Linked DNA regions of Oryzias latipes. The protein of the gene in region 1 interacts with the protein of each later gene in a biochemical or structural test. Links are inferred from orthologs where the notes say so. Each region holds a gene or a part of one and is shown on either strand. Other genes may lie near its edges.

Region 1 (3,761 bases):
GCATTTGTTGTCATGTTAGCACATTGCTAAAACAGATGCTATGGAATGTTAGCGTTAGAGACAACCCCAATGCTAAGTTACTGTAAGCGGAGGAAGATGGATGGCTAAGTTACTGTATGGAATAAAGAACCCATCTAGTTTTCTGACCTGCTTATTGACCACAATCTTTTGAATTTACAGCCAGTTCACAGTTATCAGATGTTGGTCACCAGGTTAACTCTGTGACACTGAAATGTTAGCTACAGTGTTGACAGTCTTTCGACCGCCGTACTAACTAACCTTAGCTCTTTCACCTTTTACACAATTAACATAAATAGGCAAATTCTGTCACCGAGAATAGCGACTTTGCAGCGTTATGCAACATTTTACATTAGTAAACCTTTTGTTCGTCACGTTACTAACTTTACATAAAGTTACGTAAACTTTATATTACTAACTTTATGAAAAGTTAAGTAAACTTTATATTACTAACTTTACGTAATATTACATTAACTTTATGCTACTAACGTTAAGTAAAGTTCAGTAAACTTTATGTTACTAACTTTTCGTAAAGTTACGTAAACTTTATGTTAGTGAACCTTAAATCAAACTTTACTTATACTTTAGTAAATGATCACTGTATTTAATTAAGCAAAAGTGATTTAAGGACGGTTTTTTTTTGTGTTTTTTTCTGTCTTTTTAATCTATGCATTTCATAATTTCGGTAATGAGTTTGATAAATATGTGTAAATTCTTTATTGCTTTGACTAAAATACTTGAAATAAATCAATAAATCAAATCAACCAGGCTATGACACAGACTAATGAAAATGTAAAAAACTATTGAAAAGTACTACAATTCAATAGACTAAACAATCCAAAACCAAATGGAACAAACCAAAGTCAGTCATGCTTGATACTTGCCAGATAAAAAACAAAACAAAACACATATCTACCAGTTTTTTCAAAAGTTTAACTGTTTTTCCTTTTTTAATCCAAATTTCCAAATGCAGATCTCGGAAACACAGGTAAAACATATGTAAACACTTTTTAAAAACAATATTTACTTTATTAATAAATGTATAAAAAGTGTGTATTAGATAGTGTAAGAGAGTAGTGTGTACTTCCTTTTTCATAGAACCCTCACTGTGACTGTTTGTCCATAAATCCAGAACATTTGCACTTTTTTTGGTTCCTTAGAACCTGAATTGTGGCCTTTTGGTAGAGCGTCCGCTCTTAGAGTGGGAGGTTGCGGGATCAAACCCAACAAAGTTTCTAAAACTATGCCTCTCTGCTGCTCAACACTCAAGGGTTAAGGGGTCGGATTGCGTCATCGACCTCAGTGTTTCACCCTGTGGGTGGTTCCAATTGTTTGGATTACAGGGGGGGTCTGCAGAAGCTGTTGGGTTGGAGATGTCATCAGATGAAGTCACGCTTCTATTGTCGTCTACCTGCTTCAAACGCTATTTTCCCGCTGCGCTCCAGCTGTTGCCCTGTAATTTCAGCTGTGCCTACCGAAAGTAAACAATGGCGGCGGTGCGTTCCTCCACACGTGTATTTAAAATGGAACATTCAAAGGGAGCGGGTGCCTCAGATGTTTACAAAATGTTTCAACTCGGAGGTTCAAGTCGGGTGTAGAGGTTAAATCCAATGATAGCTGCTCAACGTTTGTGGTTGTGGTGCATTTGTGGGAGAAAAAAAAACGGAATGGAGGCTCCAGAAGGAAAGTTCAGCCCAGCAGTTAGTGGTGAGGCCTCGTCACAGCCAAGGATCTCTGGCACCGTGGCCTGCATGGGAGTGAGTAGTTTTGCTCCTCTGCTTCCGCTCACACTTCTACTAAAATGGGAGAAATTAGACGAGCAGTCACCAGTGAGGTTTGCAAAGGAAACATCCCTTACTTGAAGACGGGCACTGCATCGATAAAGCTGGTAGCTTGCTGTCCTCGTGAATGTTTTCCTCCCCGTTATCCCACAGGAACGACACGGGAGTCTTCGTGTCAGACATTGTGAGCGGAGGCCTGGTCGACGCCGACGGCCGCCTGCTGCAGGGCGACCAAATCCTGTCGGTAAACGGCGAAGATGTCCGGTCGGCCACTCAGGAGGCGGTAGCTGCCCTTCTCAAGGTCAGCCTCCCATAGCTATGGATCCTTATTGAGACGGTGATCCCATTCACAATGATTCACCGAACAGACCACAATTCTTACGATTTCATATGTTACGTTTCAATGGTAGCAAGGACTGCACGATGTGAGGAAAACTCGCGATTTGAGATATCAGTGATCAATATTGCGATGACAGTATAACCCGCGATACAAATAGCAAAAGAACCAAAAAAATCGTTTCCGTTTCACTGCAACAGTTTGATTTAAATAATACATTTAAATTAAATTATACCCCAAATGAGTCTGCATAACATCTAACATCAAAGAGTTCCATCAGATTGGTCAAATGCATTAATTGATTTATTTGATTCGTTAAATACTCCAAGCTGCCTTAAGATCGTTTTAGCACATTTAAGGTTATTGCAATTTTCGCCGACTTTGCGATATGCGTATTGCACAGCTTGATATTGTGATAATGATAAATTTGCGATATATTGTGCTGGCCTTATGGTAGCTATATCACTTGTGCTATCCTATGGGGTCCAGATGACCCCACCCTTACATTGACGTGTTCTCCCTACCATGACAAAGGTGGATAAAGGTGGAAAGATTTCATGTAATCCATGGACACCAGTGAAGATCACAAATCATTGAAGAAAAAAGGTTCAGAGCACTGTCTAGTGGGTCTAGATGACCCAACTCCCAATGTTAAAGTACCTAGGATAGCACATGGTTACATATGTCGTTTTTACTGGATGAGTAAATATCTTAATTTTTACCTTTATTTAGAACAGATCAGAATCATCAGACCATAAAAAAAGCAAAAACAAAGATTTTGAAAGACAAAAATTCAACTCAACTTTATTTATAAAGCACTTTAAACAGAGGTTCATCAAAGTGCTGAACAACACAAAAATTAATAAAAGCACATGACAATATAAATTATTACTTGGAAGATGTATTGACTTTTGTTGACAGTAGTGGTAATCCGACATTATTCTGCATTTTAGAGCGATAATTATGGTGCCTGAATGTCGCTTATTACACTCAACTATATTTAAAAAGATCGCAAATCTGATCTCGGATGTCGCAAATGATCATACTCAAATTTTCAGTAGCGGAACGGGAATATCCTATAGTCGGGATACTGGTTTTAGCCCGGGAGTCGGCTCCCGCGGTGCGTCGGGAGGATTGATCTGAAACGCTAGAATGACGGCGATGCGTTTGTGTCGCAGTGCTGCATCGGACCCATCAAGCTGGAGGTGGGGAGGTTTAAAGCGGGCCCGTTCCACTCTGAAAGACGGCTGTCCCAGAGCAGTCAGGTACCGTGCTGAGAATCTCCCAGGTACAAAATAACAGTTTTGGTTTGTTAAGGCGTCGAAATCCTCACACTTTTGCAGATAAGTGAATCCGGCAGCTCCAAAGTGGCTCGTCCGTCGAGTTCCGACTCCGGAAACCTTCTCTGTGACTCTGAAAAGCAAAGCCCAGCTCAGGATGGTGAGTACCAAGAAACGGATCGTCACCATGATCCTCATCTGTGTCGGTGCGGTAAAGAATCCTTTGGAAACCTTTTCAGCTGCAGAGCATCAGGACGTCAGAACAGTGGAGCTGACCAAAGGTCCCAGCGACTCTCTGGGCATCAGCATCGCGGGCGGCGTGGGCAGCCCTCTGGGCGACATCCC
Region 2 (4,315 bases), on another chromosome or scaffold:
AGTATTTTTCTATTGAACTCTTTGTATTCGTGATCCTTTTGATTTCATGTTTTACTTCGAAGCCCATCGAGACGACTGTTGTTGTGATTTTGGGCTATACAAATAAAATTGAATTGAATTGAACTCTCGCCGCGCCATGCCCGCTGCTCAAATCGCGCCGCAGAACCTCTGATTTAACATTGTAACTGGCCGTCCCGTCACGCAAATCGTGTTCGTAGTGCATGCAGCTTTACAACTGCATAGTTGCCTGTTCTTCTGTAGGACTGCAAATCCACAGTTTTTTCACAGTCTATTGTTCTTGGAGTAAAGATTAAAAAGTCCTGGACTGTCTCCTCTGAGATTAGTGGATCTGAGGGTGCAAAAACTATCTGGCCTTTCATTCTTAACTGAGGAGATTTTTTGAGTTTTTTTGTGGGGCTGTTGGCATGTGTAAACTGACTATCATCATGGTCAGCACAGATACGGGCTGACCAGCTGCTGGCTGTGCACTGGAATAAGCCTTAGTGATTCACCTTCAAACTTGTGTCACTGAAAACAACACACAACCTATGTGCGATAGATTAGACTATCTTCAAGAGGTGCAACCGTTTTCATTTGTTCCAGTAGCTCTCCATTCCTTGTGCTCATTCCCTCCTCTCTGTTGCACTGATTTAACATGAAACTCTTAGCGCTTGCTGAATTTTTCTTTAAATTCTGCACTTTGCTGCTGTTGCAGTCAGTTTTTGTAAATCACCTACAAATCCTATTTACAGAGGATGAGCAATTTATTGTTTAATTTCACGCAATTTGGTAAATGAAATATTAAGGGTTGTATTAGGCTGATCCAAATCAAACAAAAAAACCTACAAACTGTTTGAAATTAAAGAACATGTTTCAGCTACATCCTGAAAAGCCGACTAAAATGAGTTTTATTTATTCTTTAAATCAAACCTTTTGGTAAATTTAAACTGGCACATGTTTGTTCATGTACGTTATCTTAATATGAGGCTAGTTGACTCAAAATTAACTCTACAAAAATATGTACAGAACCAGAAAAACTCAACGAGAAAATAGGAAACAGGCACAATGGAAGAGAGAACAAGACATGGTTGAGGGAGACAGCCAATACGGTTCAAGGGAGCGAGAGACCCTGGGTGAGAAGACAGAGAGAGAGAGAGAGAGCTGGAGATCCCCACAGAGAGGAAGAGAGGCTGCATGAAAGAAGCAGCCAGAGCGCAAAAACATTCAGCTCCCGGTCACTCACAATGACGACTCAACTACTTGACTGCACTCCTCTGGAAACCTGAAAGACCACAGGAAGACCTCACAGACACTCCGGTTTTTCCCTCTGCCTCTCAATCAGTTTTCCATTTTGGAAAGTGACATTATGTGGAAATACAGTGCGGGAAGGAGGAAGGTTTGGGAGGAACGTGGTCTGTGGTGCTTTTTGGAAGACGTGCATGGAGCGGCTGATGTTTTTCACTGAAGGTTTATGTGAGTAAAGGGGTGAGGGGGGGTGGGCATTTATGGAATATTTAAAATCTCGTGAGGGCTGACGCTGTTTGCTTGTGAAGAGAAAAGTATTCTTCAGAGGAGGCAGAACTTTAACGGCAGGATGGAGTGACTGTGTGTGAGGGGAAAGTTGGAGGCACATGGACACACACTTGTAAGAACCCATCCTGTTCGTCATCCATCCTTGTCAGCTGCAGACTGCCTCGCAGGTACACGGATGAGCTGAGACCAGGAAGCCAGGATTCCCACCCATGCTCACAGAGCAATCGCATCTGTGGATCCACCATCCAAACCAGCACCAGTTTCCACAAGAGTTTCCATTCATCAAACCAGTTTCACTCTAGGATATAGTTTTCTATAAGGACCAGATCATGCGTCTGAAGAGAAACAGACTAACTGGAAAACTGCTTTAACCCTTGGAACACATGCAGATTTTCTATAACCCAGATTTGGCACGGATGTAGCATTTTTAGCATGAACACATCTTCCACTCTTCAGGGATGACTTCAAATGGATTCTATGATCCGGAGAAGAGACGCCTCCCCCCTTTTCTGTGAAGACGTGAGTCACGATAATTCCAGCACTTGGATTTTTGACATTTTGTTAAAGTGGTGAACACGTTTATACAGGATGTGGATCCTGACAGACAAGACATATTTACGGCTCCAATTTCCTCTGAGATGATGGGATGGATAAGTGAACGTAAATGACAATTCAAGGGACAAAACTGAAAGATGGGAAAAGGCAAAGAAATGAATAGTTGTGAGTTTCTGGCTCTTTCTTGACTCAGTAAGTGGTGATTTTCTATAGTTCTCCTGATCTGACAGCATGAACCTGCGTGGAGGTAACATGTCAGAGCTGATCTCCCACACTATCAGAGCTATCACAGCTCTGGAGTCCAAACCCTGGCCTCCGCCTGGACTTGAGGAAAATGTCCACAGAGTTGGGAATGCAACAAGCTTGGATTGTAAGGGGGTTGACGTGGCACGCAGCACAGTAGACAGGCAGTTGGGGAACTGGTCTCAGCGCGGTGCAGCTGGACTTTACGGATCTCAGTGTGCACCTTCACATCTGCCGGAGGAGAAGAACTGGGCATCGCTGCTGATTCTGGTGGTGATCGCCGTCACGGTCATGGGGAACATCCTGGTGATTCTGGCCGTGTCCTTGGAGAAGAAGCTGCAAAATGCCACAAACTACTTCCTGATGTCACTCGCAGTTGCTGACATGCTCCTGGGCATCTTGGTCATGCCAGTTTCCATGGTGACTATTCTCTACGGTAAGAGCAGAGCGTCAATCAAATTAAGCTTTATCAAGCTGACATTTAGTGTGATGATGACTGGAGTTGAGTCTCACAGCATTTATAGAATTGTTTCGTGACTACACAAAATGCACCTGGCTGCACGCGTTCCTCACTACGGATGATTTGTGTGTTCGTGACTGGTTATAGGCAAGAAATATTACACTTTCTCATTTCCGAGTTGGAGCTCTGTCAGAGTCTGATGGCTGTTTAGATCAGTGATCCAGTGTTTGGCTCTGCGGTGAAGCGAACTCCGCCTGGACAGGCAGGTCTCAGTTCATGCATGGCTTTGTGGTGGCAGTGGAAGACAGATGGAGAGCAGCAGTGTTGGAGGTGTTCAGGGCTGTTGTTGATAATGATGGGTTTATTTGGAGAGCTGCTTCAATGGAAAAATAACATGGCAAAGCCTGTGCTGTGTACGGATGAATGGGAAGGCTGATAGAACCCTGCTGCTGTGCAAAACAAGTCTCTCAATGCTACAACTTAAAAAAAGAGAATAGCTTATTGTCTTAGCAGTCTTTAACAAAGAACCGCGCAAGCTAAGACACATCGGTTTCAGCACATACACACCTACACACTTATCCCGTTTGTTTATGTTCCACCGCGAAGACAATTCCGACGTGCAAACATTAGTACCCCCCCCCCCCCCCCCCCTCCGAGCCATGTCCCACCGGGTGATTCGCGCCCCCCCTGAGATTCCCCTGCGCCCCACAGTTTGAGAACCACTGGCGTACACAGTTAAACATTTACAGTTTATCAAAGAGCGTGTGCTACGCAGGTGTTGCCAGTGACAGCTCCGGTGTTTTGCTACATATACACCGGACATGTGATGCATGTTTCAGAGTGCGCTTAAACCGCACAAACTGCAATTATTAATTTCTCCTCCATCAGATTCAGATCAATTTTCAGTGGATTGGCATTTTGGTGAATGAAAAGGACGCCATCCATACGTCGCTACCAAATCCGAGTCCCTTATTGGTCAAAGTTCAACCTGGTTTAACTTGTGTGTGCGTTCAATGGGTGTGTGTTTTTGTATGTACAGCCAAATGAAGGTCATAGAAACTCAACGCAGGAGTTTTGAATGCGGAAACCCGAAACGCGTGCTTACATAGACTTATCATTGGAAGTGGTCGTTTGATTTTGCATTGCTGAGGGGGTTGTGTGAACGTTGCTTCACAGTATTAATCCAATTACCGTTTGAACTCAGCAGCCATTCTCAAGCGAATGAACTTTGGAAAAAAAAATTATTTAAGTAAACCAACTGTAAGCTGGTTACCTATGGAGATGTGAATACAAGCTTTTTCCTTTGAACAAATACTAAGACCAAAACCAGATGTTTGAAAATTTATTACTGTAGTAGAAAATTCACATGGGTACATTTTGTCCTTTTTTAATTTGCCCCAAATTTTCTATCCTTGGGGGGGTCCATTTTGTTTGGCAGGTGTGAAAACTCACCAGACATGATAACTCTGGTCCACATGAGATGCATGCTCATGTTTAGCCCATAAGAGGTACTTATGATGATCA

What was found.
Region 2: the proteins of mpdz (region 1) and htr2a form a complex in vitro, tested with the Homo sapiens proteins (2 studies listed by IntAct, with this or other methods). The link is inferred for Oryzias latipes from reciprocal best matches to the Homo sapiens genes MPDZ and HTR2A.

The regions. Positions count from the first base shown.
Region 1 is NC_019876.2:9,368,204-9,371,964, forward strand, and holds part of mpdz (multiple PDZ domain protein), read left to right. Parts: intron 1-991; coding exon 992-1,006; intron 1,007-1,952; coding exon 1,953-2,100; intron 2,101-3,314; coding exon 3,315-3,401; intron 3,402-3,479; coding exon 3,480-3,576; intron 3,577-3,655; coding exon 3,656-3,761. UniProt on the Homo sapiens protein: Member of the NMDAR signaling complex that may play a role in control of AMPAR potentiation and synaptic plasticity in excitatory synapses. Promotes clustering of HT2RC at the cell surface.
Region 2 is NC_019879.2:13,743,180-13,747,494, forward strand, and holds the start of htr2a (5-hydroxytryptamine receptor 2A), read left to right. Parts: upstream 1-1,193; 5' UTR 1,194-2,319; coding exon 2,320-2,767; intron 2,768-4,315. UniProt on the Homo sapiens protein: G-protein coupled receptor for 5-hydroxytryptamine (serotonin).